Linked DNA regions of Oryzias latipes. The protein of the gene in region 3 interacts with the protein of the main gene of each other region in a biochemical or structural test. Links are inferred from orthologs where the notes say so. Each region holds a gene or a part of one and is shown on either strand. Other genes may lie near its edges.

Region 1 (6,033 bases), on a different chromosome or scaffold from region 3:
CTTCCATTTGGCCTCCATTTTCAAATGAATACAGAAAACAAGACTTAAATATTTTTGCATAACTTAAAATAAAAATTCAACAAAAACGGAAACCGCCTGTTTTCAGGTGAATTCCTCTGTATTACCAGCATTACAGTTTTTACTCTGAATTCTTTCACATGTTTTTAAGCAGGAAAACAGAAGCTCATTTCTGCTGGAAAATATGCCTGTCTGGGAATGGTAAAATCCACCTGCAATAAACTTATTTCATATTTTATCTCCAGATATTCTGGTTTAGATGATCTGTTTTCAATTATTTCATTTAAAAAAACTGAGACTTTTGTTCCCCTTTTAACTCCCTTTTTAAAATAAAGACTTCATTAAGACATTTTTCATTTTTTACAAATCCACATTTCATGTTTTTCATCAGTGCGTGTTGTTTGAAACTGATAAGATATCAATTCAGGAAAAAAGAAGACTGAACAAAAAAACGAACAAAAAACAAATACTATTTTCCTGGCAGGAATGAGCCTCTAAAGGTTAAGAAGACCACAGAAGTTTTGAAAATGTTAAAAAGAATCTGCAGAGCCAAACTAATTAAACAGTTTCCATGTCTGTGAGCTCATTTCCACACGGTGCCACAGCATTGCTGTTCATCAAGGGTGTCAGGGTCTATAGATCCTGATAGATCAGGTTCGGGTCTTGGCTGGAGGCCGGAGAAGAGGTCGGAGCGGCCCGAGGGCCGCGCTCTGTCTCACTGAGCGCAGCGGCGGCCGGGGAGGCAGGAGCATCGGCCGTGGCTGGGAGGCAGCTGCTGTCGGTGGAGATCCGCTCCACAATGCTGGACAGGCAGTCCAGACTGGAGACGACGGAGCTGCGGTCATTCCTGTGGCCTCCTACGGCAGAAAACACCGTCAGTCAAACATGATTCAAACTAGACTGTGAGGTCACTCCTCTATGTGTGAATAAAACCTGTAAACAGCTGTGTGCAGACTATTTATTGGTGTGTGTGTGTGTGGGTGTGTGTGTGTGTGTGTGAGAACCAAGTCATGCAGTTTACTTATGACACTCTTGACTCTGTATTATCCACTGCTCCCCCACCCCCCATCTCTAACATCCACTCTCTCTCTTCTTGTTTTCCGTCCGGTCCAACAAAGAATGCATATAAACATAATTATTATGAATAAAGCCTAACCTCAAATACATAAGGGGTTTACACCAATTGATACCATTGTCCAGGGAAATACTCGATTCTGATTGGCTGCTGGGTGTGGATAAAAATGTGTTAATGTACATCTAAAAAGCAGTTCCGGTCACATATCTTAAATGTTCTGTATCAGAATCTTTAGCTTCATCATCTGGACAAAAATGATCAGTGACAGGAGAACTTTCTCTCTGAACTGATGCTTTATTCAACCCATCGTGATCATCAGCATAGATATCACTTTCCTTTGCCGCACCACTCGAGGTTGGCTAAGTGGCATGTTACTGTGACAACAGGCTGCACCGCATGACAAATAGTTCGCTTTTGTGAAAAAGCAATCTAAACCGTAAAAATGACCAGAATAAAGTACTGGTTGACTATTTATTTATTTTGAAAGTCACCATGGTATAAGTGAGTAGATTTACTTCAAAGTGTTCATATTTTTAATGCACTTTGCAGTTCAACGCAGGCTTACACGGCAAGCGTTAATAATGCACCCTTTGAAGGATATTAACCCCTAAATAAATTGTGTTTGTCTAAAGATCCATAAAGTCCTGTTGTAAAAGTAAAATTTGTCCAACACAAGAGGCCTTCAGCTCTGACATACTTGCTCAGCTGTAAATATAGATATAGATATATATCTATATATATATCCTTTTTCTCATTTATAGAATTTATAGAGAATGTCATTGTTTTCTTTAACCTCATGAAAACTAAATTTATTTAGCAAAAATAAAAGCACATCTTTGGCTTCATGAACAGATTTAGTTAGATTGCAAACGCTTTATCATTTCAGATGAGCAATGCTGTCGGCTGGTTAAAGCGCAAATCGGATCTTTCCTGTGTAAAATGTTGGCGCGTGACGCGGCCCCCTCTGGCCCGCGCGCAGCTCACCGTTCAGAGCCTCGGAGAAGTAGGAGCCGCCGTCATAACTCCCCTTTTGCGTCGTCTGACACCTCGGTCCATTAAAGTCAGTCTGGAATAAAACACAATGCTTTTTTTAGAGCACGCCAAAAGAGTAAATAAAACACAATTTACACAATGTCACATTTTTGAAATATCAACACAAGGGATATTTTCCGATAGTAAACACTCGTGTATTTTTAAACTGGAATATATATATATATATATATGGGCTTTCTTTGAACAAACAAGCACAAAACAGCAGCAACAATATTATTATTTCATCTTCCTGAGTGTTTCGCACGCGTTATAAAAGGAAATTTGTCAAATAATAGAAATCCTAATGACGGGACTCGTATGTTTTATGAAGGAAATTCGTTTGAATAAATCCGGATGTTTGGTGCAAATTATAACCGATTTTTATTCAAGCAGCGAACTGCTCCAAACGACGCTGTCAGTCTATTCAAGAAATACGTAAAAAAGATTTTCACGATTAAAAAAAAAAAAGAAAAGGTTTTACGTTTAAAAATCTTATTTTCGGGAGAGGTAGTAACTGGTAATCCTCTGAATTAACTGAGTAACGCGCCTGTATAATCGAATCTAAAACGGTGAAAGTTGCCTTTCCTTTTTCTTTTCTTTTTTACTGAAGTTTTGTAAAAACTTGTGCCGTCATGAAACGACTAACTAAGTCAAGACTCCATGCGTAAAGACGCGCTGTAGCTCCAGCCTTCGCAGCTTGTCCGAACAGCGGACTCACCATTCCGTCAGAGCAGTTGGAGCGGGGGCTGGACGCGTCCGAGTCCCCGCTGTAGTGCTCCAACACCGGGTAGAAGCCATCCTCCTGGCCGGCGCGCAGCAGCGCCTGCAGGGACTCGATGTAGCTGATGGCGTTGCGCAGGATCTCCACCTTGGGCAGCCTCTGGTTGGGGTTGGCTGACGTGCAGCGCTTCAGCGTTTCGAAGGCGTCATTGACCTTGCTGAGGCGCCGGCGCTCGCGCAGCGTCGCTGCCTTGCGTCTGTCTGCGTTGGTGGTTTTCCGCTTGCAGGCTTTGCAGGCCCACAGCAGGCAGCGGCCCGCCTGGTGGTGGCCACTGGGCGCACGGACGTGCTCATCGTCCTCCACCTCCGCGCGCTGGTGCACATGGAGGACGGAGGACGGGGAGGAGGAGGACGAGCAAGGAGAGGATGAGGGGGAAGAAGAGGAGTCATCCGGCTTCAGCAGACCGCCATGGACTAGCCGTGGGTCTAGGTCCTCGAAGAAGTGCATGTCACTTGTGTTAAAACAGGGGTCATCATAGAAATCATCAGCAGCCGGGATGGGGAAAGGAATATCCGACAGCTCCATGACCCGGTCCAAAACAGGCCCGCAGAAAAGAAATACTGAGATCAACGGGCCGAGCCGAGCTATCCAGCAAACCGAAGAGAGACTCGCGATCCGCGGGTCCGGTAATGTGGGTCCTGTCAGGAGTTTTGAACTGGACTACTGCTGACCTGAAGCCTCTTATACCTGGCACATCAGCAGCAGGCAGGGGGGCCAAGGGGTCAGAGGAGTGTGACCAATCGGTGGGCAGCTGCAGGGGTGTGCGTGTGTGTAAGTGGAGGGGTTACAACTGCACGGTAATTAGAGGCCTGCAGTTAACGGAACAGCTAAAGGAAGGCCGCACACGCATTTCCGCCTTACACACCCGTGTTCAAGCGCCTCTTTGAATGCGCACACACCAGAATTTGGGGCTGTGGCGTCTGGAAGGCTAGCGGTCGCACATCACCAGCAGGTTTTTAAGTTGGGTGCGGAGCCTACAAACAAATCAAGCGTTCGTTGGTCGCGCGCTGAAAGTTCAACCGGTTGAACTTTTTCACGCTGAATCTCAGCAACGCAGCGCTGTGACCAATCAGAAATTAGGATTTGATAGTGTTTGTAGCGTCTTTTCAAGAAACAGTTATCAACCGTTGTAAACATGATCACTAAGGAGAAATGAATAATTGCGGTTTGTTTTTGGCCGGAATAAAATGACACCAAGATGGACATTTATAGGAACAGATCTGTGAAAACAAAAAGGCTGGAGCAAGATTTGAGGGAATTGAACCGCTTTGATTTTGCAGATCGAACCTCTTCCAATAAGTTGATTTAATTACAATAAATATATTGTAGGTGGCGGAGGAGCGCTGATGAAAAGAAGAACCGCCCCTGCAGGTACCTGCGTGTCTGGCGCTGGTCCGTCCGGTCTGTACACCGAATGAGTGTTCATGAAACTGCGTGGAGCGCGCTCTGGAACGCACCTTCACATGCGCACACACCACTCTTTTTTTTGTTTTCATTGTAAGTAGGAAAAATGAGGCAATTCAGAATGTCAGAGACAAATGAAATGTTTGCACTGAAAGAAAAGACTGTCAGCAGAACATTTAATGAGCAGCAAGAAATGTGTGAAAAGCTGGCAATGCAAGACGAGCTTTGGTTGTTTTTAGAGCTATTTTGAAAAACAAATGAAGTCTCTTTTTTTTTTAAAAAACACCACAAAGTTGTTGTTTTAATGGAGAAAAATGGCATGAAAAAAAGGTTTTGCTTTCCCATATTCAAAAAGTCGGTATTTATTCTAAACTACAACAATAGTTGTGAAAATAATGCTAACTGAGTGTCTCTGTGCTTTGGTTTTCATGTATTCACATCAATTCTACTCAGAAATGATCTTAATAATTTTCAAAATCTACTTTTCTTTTTGTTATTTGCACATATTTACGTAGGACCAGACAGAAAAACACTTAATATGTGCGGCCAAGAGACACATTGTGGTGTTGATCCCCCCCACACATTCGCATTGCGTCTCAGGGTAAATGTTGTCGTCAGTGGCGGACTTTAGAGTTCGGAGGCCCCTGGCGAATAACAACGGTTGTATTTTATTTTTTAAATCCTTACATTTAGGGTAAAACATAAGAGAACTTTCTAGCTCTGTTATGGAGTTCAACAACCCAGATTACAGATATCCAGCTTGACTCCTCCTCTTGACATCAATTTTTTTACCCAGAAGCGTCGCTCAGCAGGGACTCTAGTAGGCGTGGTTACGTCATCACATGTCGAGCACATTGACTGTCAGCAGTCGAGCTGTTTGTTAAGACCAGACATTGTTGCCAGTGTGGGCTCATTGTTGTGATGGGAATCCTGGATCGGCTCACTAAAAAGAGCCTCTCAGCTCCCAAAAGACTTTTTTGGTTTTTGTTGCTTTATTTCAGTCAGAATGAAGCATATAAGATGAATAAGTGTAAAAAAAAAGTTGTTATTCATACATGTGTATGATATGTATGTTATTTATTCCTTCCAGATAAAACGTGCAAAAAAACAAAAAAACAAAACCAGCTGTTTACAATTCAACTTTTAATTATTTATATTTTTATCTTGCTCTTATTAAACAAGTTTGAAGCGAATCAACACAATCCGGAATAAAAGTAAAGATGTGCAAGCCGAAGAAAAGACTAAATATTTGGCATTTAGAAATTCCAAATGTCTATCAAGTTATATTTACGCCACCACATAGCAAACAAAACTTTCTAAGCTGCAAATGAAAATATTAAATATTTGCTTTCACATACTTTTTCTTTGCTTTCAAAAAATTTTTTTGCGTGTCATAGGTTTCAGCTTAGCGTGACATAGCTGCCATATGTCACACTAAACTGAAAACGCGAGACATTTTTAAAAGCAAAAAAAAGAAAGCGAAACCAAAAAGTATTTGAAAGCAAACATTTAATATTTTCATTTGCAACTTAGAAAGCTTTGTTTGCAATAAGGTGGCATAAATATTACTTAATAAATGTTTCAGCTTTGAGGAGCTGATCTGGTTCTTTCTGCTTTGATCTGTCCGGTTCTGGAGAAGATTCTCTCAGGTGTCTGGACAGGTTGGTTGTGGAGCTGCTTTTATATGGAAACTATTTTCCTGTTCTTTGTTTACACCTTTGAT
Region 2 (6,186 bases), on a different chromosome or scaffold from region 3:
GGCTAAGTTTATTGAAGGAAACAAAATTAGACTTACTGAAATTTTAGTGAAATATGGAGAATTTGACTCTGCTTTGACTTTTAGAGTTGTTTTCCCACTTTTAGTCAGACTTTAACAATTTATGTTGTGATGTTAGAGTTTCCATTTTACCCCACAAGATGGGGATGTTTGACAGGTTTCAAACATCAGGATTCTTTGACTACTTTCATTCATTTGTTTTCTAAACTCACTGTGTACCTTTCAGGGTCACGGGGCTGCCAGAGCCTGTCCCAGCTCTGTTGGACGAAGATGGGGTACAGTGTGAGCAGGTTGCAAGTCTGTTGCAGGGCCACACAATCATACACACACTCACATGCACACCTAGGAGCAATTTAGAGGAATCAATTAGCCTTTTAGCCCATGAACCATGGTTTTGGACAGTGGGAGGAAGCCTGAATACTGAAGCGCCATCGTTACATAACACACGTACAAAGTCAAGTGCACAAGGAGAACATGCAAACTTCACACAGAAGGGTCTCATCAGGGATTTGAACTAGTGCCTTCCTGCTGTGAGATGAGAATGCTAACCGCCAATCCACTGTGTACCCTTTCTTAGACCTCTCATAAATGCAAATAGACTATTTTAGAAAAGTCACAGGTTATCCAGCAAAGGAATCCCTGAAACTGAAAGCATTTCAAAGAATCTTTGGGCGGATAGACTTAAGTTAGTGGTCCAGCACAAAGGGCGTCCCTGACTCAATGTGAGCTTTCTGTCAGCAGAATGACTGAACCAAAGCTCTGGGAGGCTAAAATCCTTTAGTTTTCAAACTGAAAAAAGGATGACTAAATAAAGAGATAACAATACTTTTAAAGCAGCATCCTATAGTTCTGACCTGAACACAGCAATTGCAAAATGACTGTCAATGGTTAAAAATTTATAATAAATGCTTAATCAATTATGCAAGATGGTTAAATTGATTTTTCTAATAATATTACTTCATTTGCTCCAAAAATTTAAAAATTGATTCATGATTTTTCTTAATGTGACATAATTTTGCATATATTGTAACTTTTAAAACTTGAGAATTTCTTTCTATGAAGACTTTTGAAACAGTGTTCTGTCTATTTTACTGATATAGTATTTTTATTAATCATATACATGACTTTTTTTTAAGTAACATAATTGCATATATTTTGGATAAATGATCTGCAATTGCCATGTTGATTTCTAAACGTTATTTTTTACATAATAATTTAAGTAATTAATCTTTGTCATGTGCTTAATTGATACCTCAGGATTCTTAATTCTGTCTGATAAAAGCTAGGAGCCGGATATTGATAAATCATGTAATAAAATGGTTACGGTAGATTAGGGGTGGGATTATATAAATTTGCTTCCTTCCACTCCCTTTCAAGCAATATTTATTATGCCTAATTATCATAAGTTTGGTTCGCCATTGTATGAATGTATAACTGGTGATTGTATTGTTTTTGTGTATGATTCCAATTTGATTGCTTGAAATAAACCATTAAAAAAATTGTACCAAATGACTAAACAACTCCAAAGTTTTACTGTAATAAAACCCAACTGACGCAAGTAGAAAACATGATGCCGGCTTAGTCCAGTTTAGAAGGCATGTTTTTTACCTACAACTTTTCAATGTTGCACATATAATTTTATTGGACAAATGAAAACACATCAACAATCCTCCATGATGACCAAGAACTAAGATTTCAAGTCACAACTTCAGTTTTAGGTCAACAACACTAGGCGTTTATCTGATTACCCGCGACTTTTTATAGGTTTTATTGGAAGAAATTCCACTCTTTAAAGACGTACCGTCCATGGGAGGCTTTAGGTCTCCTCGTTCTTGGCCAATAGGGGTCAAGTCATCTGGCTTGGGTTTGGTCGCCAAAGATGGGGGAGGGGGTGTTTTCTTTCAATATCTTTTGTGAGCCAATAAGCAAGAGTGGTGAATCCAATTATCATGTACAGACAATGCAGGGCTGCCCCTTGCTGTGTGCCACTTTCCTTATTTTAGGAAATACGTTTACAAATGTGTGCTCTATTGTCACCAGAAATATAAATTCTGAAGGAAATGGAGTTCTTTTAATAACTAAATGACACTTTTTACAACTATTTTGGGATCTATTTTAGTAAATATGTACAATTCAAAGTTAATATTTGTTTGAACTACAATTTCACATTTAGTTGCATTCCTTTTGTCGTACTAATAGTCATTTTAGTCCATTTTAATTTGGATTCATACTCCAAATTGTAAAAGTTTTGAGTAGTTTGACTTTAAATGTAGTATTTTTGCTTGTATTTGGTAAAGTTAAGTGCTTAAAATTAGTTTCTTAATATTGGTTTTTTTTGTTTCTGTAACAAACAGTTCAAGTGAGACAGCTTAAGGCGCGTGTGGAGAATTCGTGTACTGTCTCTTTAAGAAAACCAGGCCCTGCCCCGAACAACTGTTTTATGCAAATATGACAAGCCGAGCGTGCCACCAGCCAATCAGGGGCGCTCTACAACCGCGGGAGATCCGAATTTCGCGGGACGGAGTTTGGCGCTAAAAAGACTATTCAGCTGCAGCTCCTGTCGCGTTGAATGGAGAAGGGGCACCCCGAGGTGGACTGACGGCAGCCGCACACTGGGTCGGAATCCGCAGTCGGAAGGACTCACCAGAAGTTCTAGCGTTTGTCCCCGAGACGCATTTTCGAGTCGAACTTTAAAGTCCCGCATGTTTGAAGAAACTAATTTATATTCGGAATCGTTTTTGGATCTGGTAAGACAAGTTAAATACGACTTATAAAAAAACGAACTAAGAAGAGGAACGAATCTATCAACGATTATTATTAGGAAACAGCGTCATATTGCGGATTTAATTCGTGCATTTTATTTTGAAAATATTAATTTAGTATTTGCAATTCTTTCTTCTTTTGTCGACGTCTTCTTCGGGGATAATATTATTCTCTAAAGCCGGTGATCGTCGCGCTGGCCCTAACGGCGCGCTTCTCTCCCCGCTTGACCAATCCGGTAATTGAGGTTTTCCTCGGGAAAATGATGCGGGTGCCTAAAGGCGTCTCTCCGGCTTCGGTTCGGCCAGCAGTGGCGCTCGCCTCCCAGCAGAAAATGAAGGTTTTGTCGTCCGGAGGAGTGAAGAGCGACTTCTTCAGCACCGGACTGTCCAGCCCGCCCATGCACGCGGTACCGATCGGGTATTTCACCCAGATCGGTAACACGGCTGCGGCCGAACAAAGAGCCAACAGCCTGTATTCAACCCCCCACGGCCCCGAGGCTAAACCCATCAGATCATCCTCCGGGCGGCTGCCGGTAAGGAGCATTTCTGCAGCTCATTTTTCTCTTATGAACAAGGGATTTCTTGTGCCCATGTGGGAGGAATAATGCATGATTTCCATCGGCATGCGCAGTTTTGCAATTATGTTTTGACGCGATAAGCCACAGAGGGGCCTTTTTCCCCCATGTGTGTGCATCTCTCCACGCAGTCCAGCTGTATAGCTGGAGCAAGCCAGTGTGATTGTTTTTGATGTGGCAGATAAAGAGGAAGGGGCCCCCAGTTTGATCTTGTTTAGAGGTCCCTTGCGAAAAAATGTAGGATGAGTGGCCCCCTATACTGCAGTGAGTCAGGATGGCTTACAGACCAGAAGACAATACTGAGGGCATGGCTGTGCTGGTTGGAGGCATTATTTCCCTTACTCCTGCATTTGCAGACTACACCCAGAGACAGCTGCTCCATCTGCACCTGTCAGTTAACCAGTGCTGGACCTGTGTAACCTGTTCATGCAACTGCAGGAAGCAGGGTGTCATGAGTGAGCAACTGTTTGCTTTCCCCACAGAGCTTTTTGATTGAGGAAAAAAAAAAAAAAAAACTTCCATTCACTATGTTTCCTAAAGGATTATGCTGTTGATCTGCTGTGGATTCTGATCCACATGCATGCTGCCACTTCTATTAAAATCTCCCATCGTTCATTTAGTTGTTGGAGAGTGTGCAGGCTCTTCAAATCTCACGCTGACCCCTTGGCCCAGGAGCGTGGATCCACTAATAGGCCCTCCAAGAGGATTACTTGGACAGTTAGAAATAGGCTACCACCTGGCTTATCATATGTTGAGGTGATTTTACTGTTCAAGTTTGCGTTTTTACATCTCATAAAGGCATTCTTCTTCCTCATCCAGCATTAACACCAAGTTTATAGCTAAGTCTTAAAAAATACACCAGGATTTATAGGTTTTGTCTCCATAGATATTGTGTTTATTCTGTAAAACAATGATCATTTTTAACATTTTTCCATGTGTGCATGCTTATTTCAACAGTAATAGAAGAACTTTAGAGTAAAACGTTTTCGGAAACTCATATCGTTGGCTCTTTTTTTGTATAATTGGGAGATCTTAGATTCTAAGATGTTTATAAATGTGTATTATAATGAGTTATAAAAAATAAAGAAAAATCAATGCAACACAATTTCTGCAGAAATGACACATTTATAAACACACGATGCCTCTTCAATGAAGTGTCATCATAAATTTCACACCTTTACTGTCATTATATTGTAATTATCAAGTGAAGATGCGCAGATTTTCTCCATTGAGGGTTTATTTGCACTTGATCTGAGCCGCGGTGTTGTTTGAAGCGATCTCCTGGAAACTGGGTTTTGCCATCACAGCTGCTTGGGTGCAGGCCTTGTGTTTACAGGAACTGCTGCATATGCAGCACACTTCCTTTAACAACAAAATAACCACCACTCTTTTGCATTTCTGCCTCATAAACGGAACCCTAGCCCTGAGATCCCATAGACTCAACCTTTCAACACTCTGTAGACGACATGTACAAAAAAATAACATCCTTAAGTTGATTTTGAACAGCTTTTGTTGACTTTAGCTGCAGATGTCTCACATTTATGTACCAATCATGCTGTGTAGTAAACGTCAGTGCATCATTGACTTTTAACCAGGGTGTGGAGACAGTTCAGAGTGTTATGAAATAGAATTTCCTTTTGGGCTTGATGATGATGCAAAATGTGTTACAGTCTTCAGGCCATCACTCTAAAGGTCATGGCTGGTCTTTCACTTGGAGTTTTCAGATGCCCCGCATGCATCCATTTGTCTACTCAGGATACCCCTGACAAAAATACATCACAGTTTATCCACACAATTCCAAACCAGGAACTGTCATGTTCATGTAGTTTAGTCAAAATCTTAAAAAGAAATACAATAGATTAATTTTACACCATACATTTACAATACTGTTTAGTATTAAGGGATGCTTCAACCTAAATTCTACATTTTGATCTGCATGCAGAATCCTTGCTAATGTTTTTAGGAATGCTTCTCTTGCAGTTTGGTCATTAAAGACCCACCTCAGTGGTGTTTTTAACATGTACTTGTGGCATTTGTCTGATTATAGAGGACATATATAAAGAAAATTAACTTTAAAATAGCATTTCTGAGTATTTATTTATTCAAATCGTTGTGAATCAGGAGCCCACGATAAAATGTAGTTTGAAAAAGAGCTTAATTGTGATGTCGAAGATGCACTGGGCAGGTCACAAGCTGTCATCAACAGGAAGGAAAGGGGGGTCGGGGTTGCTCTGCGCCAATGATCCCGCCCACAATCAGAAAGGAATTTCTAATGAACCCCTGCGGCTCTGTAGAAACTATGTCCTTGAAAATGGACAGTTTTTGTTTTTCCATTTGACCAAAAGATGAGCGGAGTGGGACTTTAAAGGTTAAGGCATCGTCTTAACCTGGATTGGTAGTTACCTTCAAATTCACTTTGAAAAAAAGAAATGTTACAAAGCCGATTGTTTTCTGGGGAGTTAAAAAATAAAACGTTCATTTAAGCCTTTTTTTTATTGTGAATTTTCAGAAACAAATAGAACTGAAATTTTAACTCCCCATTTTGACTTCAGCTTTCGTTTTAAGCCGTGGAGGGTTTATAGGGAAAGGTAAACTTGGATTGGCTGTAGGATTCTGCATTCCGGATAGAATGTAATATGTTTGTAGCAGCTAATTAAAGCACTAGGGTGTAAAGAAAATTGTTGCAACCACTCAAAATCTCTTGTATTTTGTAGTATGTCTGCCTTGATGGGATGCAAACTGTTAAGAAGGACAACTTTTTTGGTCAAATGCGTGTCTTTCTACCTGGTAGGAATGTACCCTTCTATAAATAGCTTTAAGTTGCTTTCTTC
Region 3 (6,228 bases):
CAGTGTTTCACTGGACAAGATGAAAAGCTGCATGTAGTTGCAGGAGGTGATCAGCAGGTGTCGCCCTCTGATGGAAGTTTAAGATGTCTCCACCAAGGAAGACAGTTCTGACATTTTTCAGAAACAATAAATGCAAATAAAGAACAGTATTGTAAATAGGAAGTAAAAATAAATAAATAGCAAAGTACTTTTTTTCACATTGTCAACGAACAAGTTACACTCTCTGGTGGACAAGATTTTCCCAAACTTTATGTGCACATATGTGTAACCTAATGCAAAAATGCCTTTGGATTAAACATTCTAAACATTAAATATTGAAGAAATGAACTGAACATTTATTTCAAGCTTTTAACTATATAAAAAAGTGCAGAGGAGCATTAAGAAAGACTAACTCAGGTGGATATTAATGTTGAGTCACTTTAATTATTTCAGAGACTTACATTGTCCAGAAGTATTTAAGAAATTCAAATAAAATACAACAGCAGAAGTAAAAGCAATGAAGCCAATCCAACAAAGTTGAAAATAGACCTTAAATGTTTCATTAGATTGCTTCATATAAAATAAATTAATATTATTTATCATATTCTGTTCTCTTTGGAAGATATTAATTTCACCAACTTCAGTCACTGAAAAAAATGTACATTAAAGTATTTCGCAGCACTAAGAGTTAAAAACAAAAATACAGTACTTTTTATGACTGAATAATGTGCAAGAGAGGAGGTCAACTCAGCTTCTGTTTGCTTGGAATATGTGTGCAGCTCATGAAGCCAGTGCAGAGAACATGCATAGTAAGCCACATGGGGTCCATAAAGCCAAACCAAAAAGATAAAGATATTCTCTGCATGGTTATGTGGATGTGTGTGGATGTGAACTGCACAGGGGGATGAGCTGAGCTGCCAAACAAAATCATATGTATTGGTCCCAAAGATGCTGAATGGCTTCACCATTGCTTCAAGTCCCTAAAACAGACATGTCAGTGATAATAAAAGTGGGATTCTTCTAAACAGCAACTGCATCTTGTCACTGTGGTTAATGCGTAAACAATCTAAACAAACCATAGATCTGTTTGATTATCAGTAAAATTTGCATAAAGCTTCAAAAAGGCCAGAGGGTATATGTATATATTAAACACATCTCATATTTGATTTCCTTTATTAGATATACATTAATTCTGGCCTTAGCACACACAAAGTGTGTACTCAAGACCACATTTTAATCGCAACAAAGATTAGAATGAAACTCAAAAGGTACAAAAAGCCCTGAAAACCAAGGAAAACGACCCAACAGACACAGGAGATTCAACCAAAAGGATCCCCCACCACCACGGCTTGAAAAAAAACCCCATAGAGTTGGAGTATTAATAATAATAATAGTTTCATTAATAGTATTGTGTAGCAATCATAGTAGTAATCAAAGTCAAAACATTAATACATTTTTATTACTACTACTATTAGTCAGGACCTCAGTTGGGTCCTCTCCCTCTAGATGCAGCTCTAGATGGGGACCTGCATCCCCACTTAGCTGTGGTGGAGCGGTCCCCGCCTGTGATGCTGCATTTTGGCTGGCTATGCAGCTATTCAGAGAGAGGGAGGTTCAAACGATTCAAACATCTTGTTTTCGTGCTCAGCCTATTTCTCATTATTGTCTTTCCCCATCAGTTTAGGGGGTGGGAGGTGTGAAAGGAGTGGGGGGCTGTGTGTAGGTACAGGAAGGGGGCCCTATTTTTTAATTTTTGTGTTTATTTATTTTAATTTTCATGCTTGTTTTTGTACTATTTATTTTGTTTTAATTTAAAGAACTGTATGTTATTCTTTTAAAATTAAAAAGTGGTTTATAAATAAAGTTTGATTTGATTTAATTAATCTTGTTTTTTATTATGACCCGAGCTCAAACTAAGTGAACCACAGATTAGATTGTAGGTACGCTAACCACCAGGAATGGAAAAAAGGTTCAAACGTAAATTATTATTATTTTCGATGTAAGGAAAATATGTTTTTGTTATACAATCAACGTCATTGCCATTGACAGACGTGCTAACTTTGTTTCGATTGTGGTGCATGCGCAAACAAGCGGAAATTGCGTCTGTATTTTCCCGCGCTTTTGTACTGTCAGTTTGTTTTATTTAACTCAAGTGCTGTCATGTGATCTGTGTGAACTAAAAAAATGGTGTCTGATATGATTTAGAGTACAGTTTAATAGTAAAATTAGCTTTGACTTCTTTAGAAATAATATTCTTAAATCTAAATTCAAAATAGGGTATTTTATTCAGATATATTATCACAGTGTAAAGAACGTTTGCAAACGCTACGACATAACCTCCCTGCGGGGCAATTCCTTTGAATAAAACGAGCATACACTGAAGCACGGCTCCAGGAAGTATGTCAGATTTTGTTGTATTGTTGCCATTGAATTTACTGAGTGGGCTTTAAACTCTAAATACATTAGCTGCCGATTTAAACAAAAGTACAAAAAGGTGTACACATTTTTCTGAAAAGTAACCACTCCAATATGCCGCCTAAAAAACGCAACTCGGGAGCGGCACAGAGCAAGGAGCCGAAGCCGAGTTCTGACAAAAGCTTTGCAGACAAGAAGGGGAGTCCAGAGTTTTCTTTGAACAAGTAAGATAAGTTAACAGTCGCCATTCGGAAGGGGACAACAGATTCCCAGTATACACATTAAAACGCTCTTTACTCACTGACACAAAAAACGGGCTTTGAAGGAGTATTTTCATGAGTAGCTTGTGTACGAACCGTTAGAGTTAGCCACCGCGAGGCTAACAACATTGTACCCCTACAGTAGTACTGACAATGAATGTCGCAATCCACACAACCAGCAGCATAGTTTTACAGTGATGAAAGTCTTCCGGGAATTCCCGGAAATCCGGGTTTTTGAGCAAACCGAACGTACTTTCCGGGAAATAAAGACCTGATCTCTACGGACAAATCGCTTTCCGGATTAAAAAATGGTCTGAAATCAGCTAATTTTAGCTTTATTTTCTATATTTCTCCGCAGATCGCTTCCTCTATGGTCGTGGCCATCTCTCGTCTTCCCGGCCTAATTGACCAATGACGGGCCGTTTTAGTTGCTTTCGGATGCGTCGACGGGTCTGATTGGCTCTGTCTGCACCACGTGGTCAGCGTGACTCGCTTCCCTAGAGACCAAAACTGGCGGACCCACGCTAAACTTTCACAAACACATCTGAAGAGTTTGCGATAAAATTTGTGTTAAAATAATGGCAGGCATCGTCATTATTGAGCGTGGTCACGACCTCAGTTGTGAGAAGACGATAAAAAACAAATTGAAGTGGTCTTGGCTGGAAAAAAAAGATTTTTAAGGTAGTGTAGGTCAAATACTTTTTTGTGTAAAATAATCTCAAAACCACATTTTGAAATAATTTCAATTTTAGTTTTGAGTTTCAGTTTTTATTTTGAATACATTTCTTTATCTAATTTATTTGTATTTCCTAATTACCATGATTTAGTTCAGTATAGTTGACATTAATTACAAGTATTTGATGGTTTGGACCCGCACTCCCTTAAAAAATAATGTTTACAATGTTTAGCTTAGTTTGTATGTTTGTTTTGATATTTCCCAGATTACTTAGTATTGGTGTTAAAGAATTGATGTATTATGTTATAGAATTATAGTTAAAGCAGATCCCATATTTTGATGTAATTATAGTTTGAGAAAACAGTGCAAGTGGATGTTGTACATCAGTCATTTCTAAAGCAGAAATAATGTATAAATAACTGAGGTATTTTCATAGAATATCATAGTTACTGGTGTTCTTTTTGCCATTTGGGGCTTTGATGTTACTATATTTTAGCAATTGTATGTTTTGCAGCTTTAAGGAAAAGCGTAGATTGTAGGATTGTGTTACTTTGAGCAATTTTCCAAATTCTTTTTTGGGACCAGCAAGTCCTTAATGGAGAGTCAAACTAGGGGTTTGAATGACAAATCATGATGCTCCAATTAGTCTTAGTTTCTTGATAAAGAAGTGAATAACTAGTTGCCAGAATGCACCAGAATGCATCTAAGACCACGTATTTTTCCAAAATTTTGCTCTGTGCCCGCCATATCGCTCAAAGAAAAGTTCAGGGATTTTTTCCTTACCTGACTTTCATCACTGGTTTTAACAAGTTTCATCTACAAATAACAGGAAATCATGTGGTTTAGAAAATAGTCTAGAAGGTTTCACTGCTATATAATCTGATTTTCTGACGTTTGTTTTCCTTTCTGAAGACACACAGAGAAGGATGTGGAGTTTGTGACCCTGTGTAAGAGCCTCCACGCCACGGATTCCGTGTGTGAGCGCGCGTGGACTTTGTGGAAAACTGTACAGGATGTGATGGAAGATGTTGATGTATGTATAACCAACTGTCCGAGTTGTCACTTTGTAATGTTGGGGCCCTGATGGTAAAAGCAAAGATACATTTATAGATCAAAATAAAAGGGATGGCAGGTTGATGCAGTCTGAAACCAAATGCCAACCAAGCAATTATACTTATTTTTTCCTCTTTACGTGACAACAAAGTGCCCCAGCTAAATGTACTTGCTTTTATATTTCATTTAAACTTAGATGCATTTTAATCAACCATCTGAAGGATTTAAATGAGTCTGATGACAGCGCAAACACATAACTTTCTTTAATAAAGAAGTTCCTAAACCAGTGAAATAAAGAGATGACAGAAAAATAATGAAGACTGACAATTAAACAAGCAAACACTGAAATCTCTGCTATGGGAAAGAAAATTATCGGCAAGTTTTTTCTTAAGATATTTGCACAAACAAGGAGATTGTAACACCATGACTCCAGGGTGTCATGGAATCACCCAGGTAGAATTTATTAGTAGCTTTGACAAAAATAACATATAAAATCTGCCAAAACAAGACCTTATTGTGGAAAGTCTAATAACAATCAGTAATTATGCAGTCTGACATCAAAAAGCAGAACATTTCTTTCTGGATTAAAGAAATAATGATTCATAAAATTAAATATTTTGTTTTTGTACCAGTTGTCATCTGAGCTTGATTTGACGCAAACTGGATCAGAATTGGGATTTTCAGAAACCTTTTGAATATAATAAAGACTTGTTTACTTTAACACTGTGCATTTTTTTTTACTATTATGGCTCAATTTTACCTAAGCACAAAAGAACTAGAGTTTATTTAAGTGTTGCTCGATGCCAAAGTTATGTCATCCAGAGTATTACATTTTTTGGCAGTAAATTCCTGAGGCACTTGGATTCCAAAAACATCCACCACAGTCTTATATGAAAATAGGCAGTGTTAAGTCATCCAAGACATTTTCAATTTCTTAGTCTTACTAGGCATTATAAAAAAGGTAACAAACTGATAGCAGCAAAAAGTGGATATTTATTCAGCTCTCCCTCACTGAGTAAATATAGATACATGAAAGTAAAGACAATTATAATAAATGTTTAGAAACCCTCTAATCACTGATCTAAAAGCAGACAGCAGTTGTTGAAACATTGAATTAAGTAATTTACCTTCTTTTAATTTTTTTAGGCCAATCAGAAAAGACTGTGGGGTTCTTGTCTATTTGTGACTGCAACAGACATGGATGCCGCCTGTTTTACCCTGACTGAAGTTCTAAAAGCTGTCAATATCAAGTAAGTAGCAGGAGTAGTATTTTATAAAATAAAGTAAAAAAAAAAATCATGTTTCAGACCTTGTTTGAGCTTTAAATGGCTTAAGCTACAAATTCACTGTTAAGCTTTGAAGACACAGAGTAAAGCAAGGCCTCTCACCCAGACATTTTTTGTGTTATAGTGTGAAACAGTTTGTCGGCCTGGTGAGAAAGTTGGATGTAAACTTGGATACGATAAGCACTAAAGTGAATTCAGCACTGATGCGAGTGGAGAAGAAGTACGATGTGATGCTGGCTCTTTACCAGAGGTTTGAGAAGTAAGTGAAAACACCCGCAGAAGAAATTCTGGCAACAATTGCAACCAAACATACACTTGATTTATTTCAGAACGTGCAAGAAAATCTTTGCTTCGACCCCTGATAAAAAGTAAGTTAGTTCAACTTGGATGTTTGTCCATTTATTTTATTTTTTAACCCTTTTGTAATTTGTTGATGTAATATCCATTTTATTTCAAGGGAGAGGGCAACCATGCGTACTTGCTGGACAATGTTTCTTTTGGCAAAAGGTCAGTGGGGCCTTTTAACATGTTAACAAGTAAAATAAGCAGGCGTGAGCAG

The links. The genes of interacting proteins can lie anywhere in the genome.
Region 1: the proteins of rb1 (region 3) and myod1 form a complex in vitro, tested with the Homo sapiens proteins (2 studies listed by BioGRID). The link is inferred for Oryzias latipes from reciprocal best matches to the Homo sapiens genes RB1 and MYOD1.
Region 2: the proteins of rb1 (region 3) and e2f2 form a complex in vitro, tested with the Homo sapiens proteins (2 studies listed by BioGRID and IntAct, with this or other methods). The link is inferred for Oryzias latipes from reciprocal best matches to the Homo sapiens genes RB1 and E2F2.

What each region holds. Positions count from the first base shown.
Region 1 is NC_019864.2:6,431,916-6,437,948, forward strand, and holds the start of myod1 (myoblast determination protein 1), read right to left. Parts: upstream 3,635-6,033; 5' UTR 3,432-3,634; coding exon 2,844-3,431; intron 2,160-2,843; coding exon 2,078-2,159; intron 876-2,077; coding exon 652-875; 3' UTR 1-651. UniProt on the Homo sapiens protein: Acts as a transcriptional activator that promotes transcription of muscle-specific target genes and plays a role in muscle differentiation. Together with MYF5 and MYOG, co-occupies muscle-specific gene promoter core region during myogenesis.
Region 2 is NC_019880.2:9,279,097-9,285,282, forward strand, and holds the start of e2f2 (transcription factor E2F2), read left to right. Parts: upstream 1-2,552; 5' UTR 2,553-3,040; coding exon 3,041-3,313; intron 3,314-6,186. UniProt on the Homo sapiens protein: Transcription activator that binds DNA cooperatively with DP proteins through the E2 recognition site, 5'-TTTC[CG]CGC-3' found in the promoter region of a number of genes whose products are involved in cell cycle regulation or in DNA replication.
Region 3 is NC_019872.2:15,933,005-15,939,232, reverse strand, and holds the start of rb1 (retinoblastoma-associated protein), read left to right. Parts: upstream 1-2,345; 5' UTR 2,346-2,508; coding exon 2,509-2,618; intron 2,619-4,242; coding exon 4,243-4,363; intron 4,364-5,529; coding exon 5,530-5,633; intron 5,634-5,793; coding exon 5,794-5,928; intron 5,929-5,998; coding exon 5,999-6,037; intron 6,038-6,126; coding exon 6,127-6,176; intron 6,177-6,228. UniProt on the Homo sapiens protein: Tumor suppressor that is a key regulator of the G1/S transition of the cell cycle. The hypophosphorylated form binds transcription regulators of the E2F family, preventing transcription of E2F-responsive genes.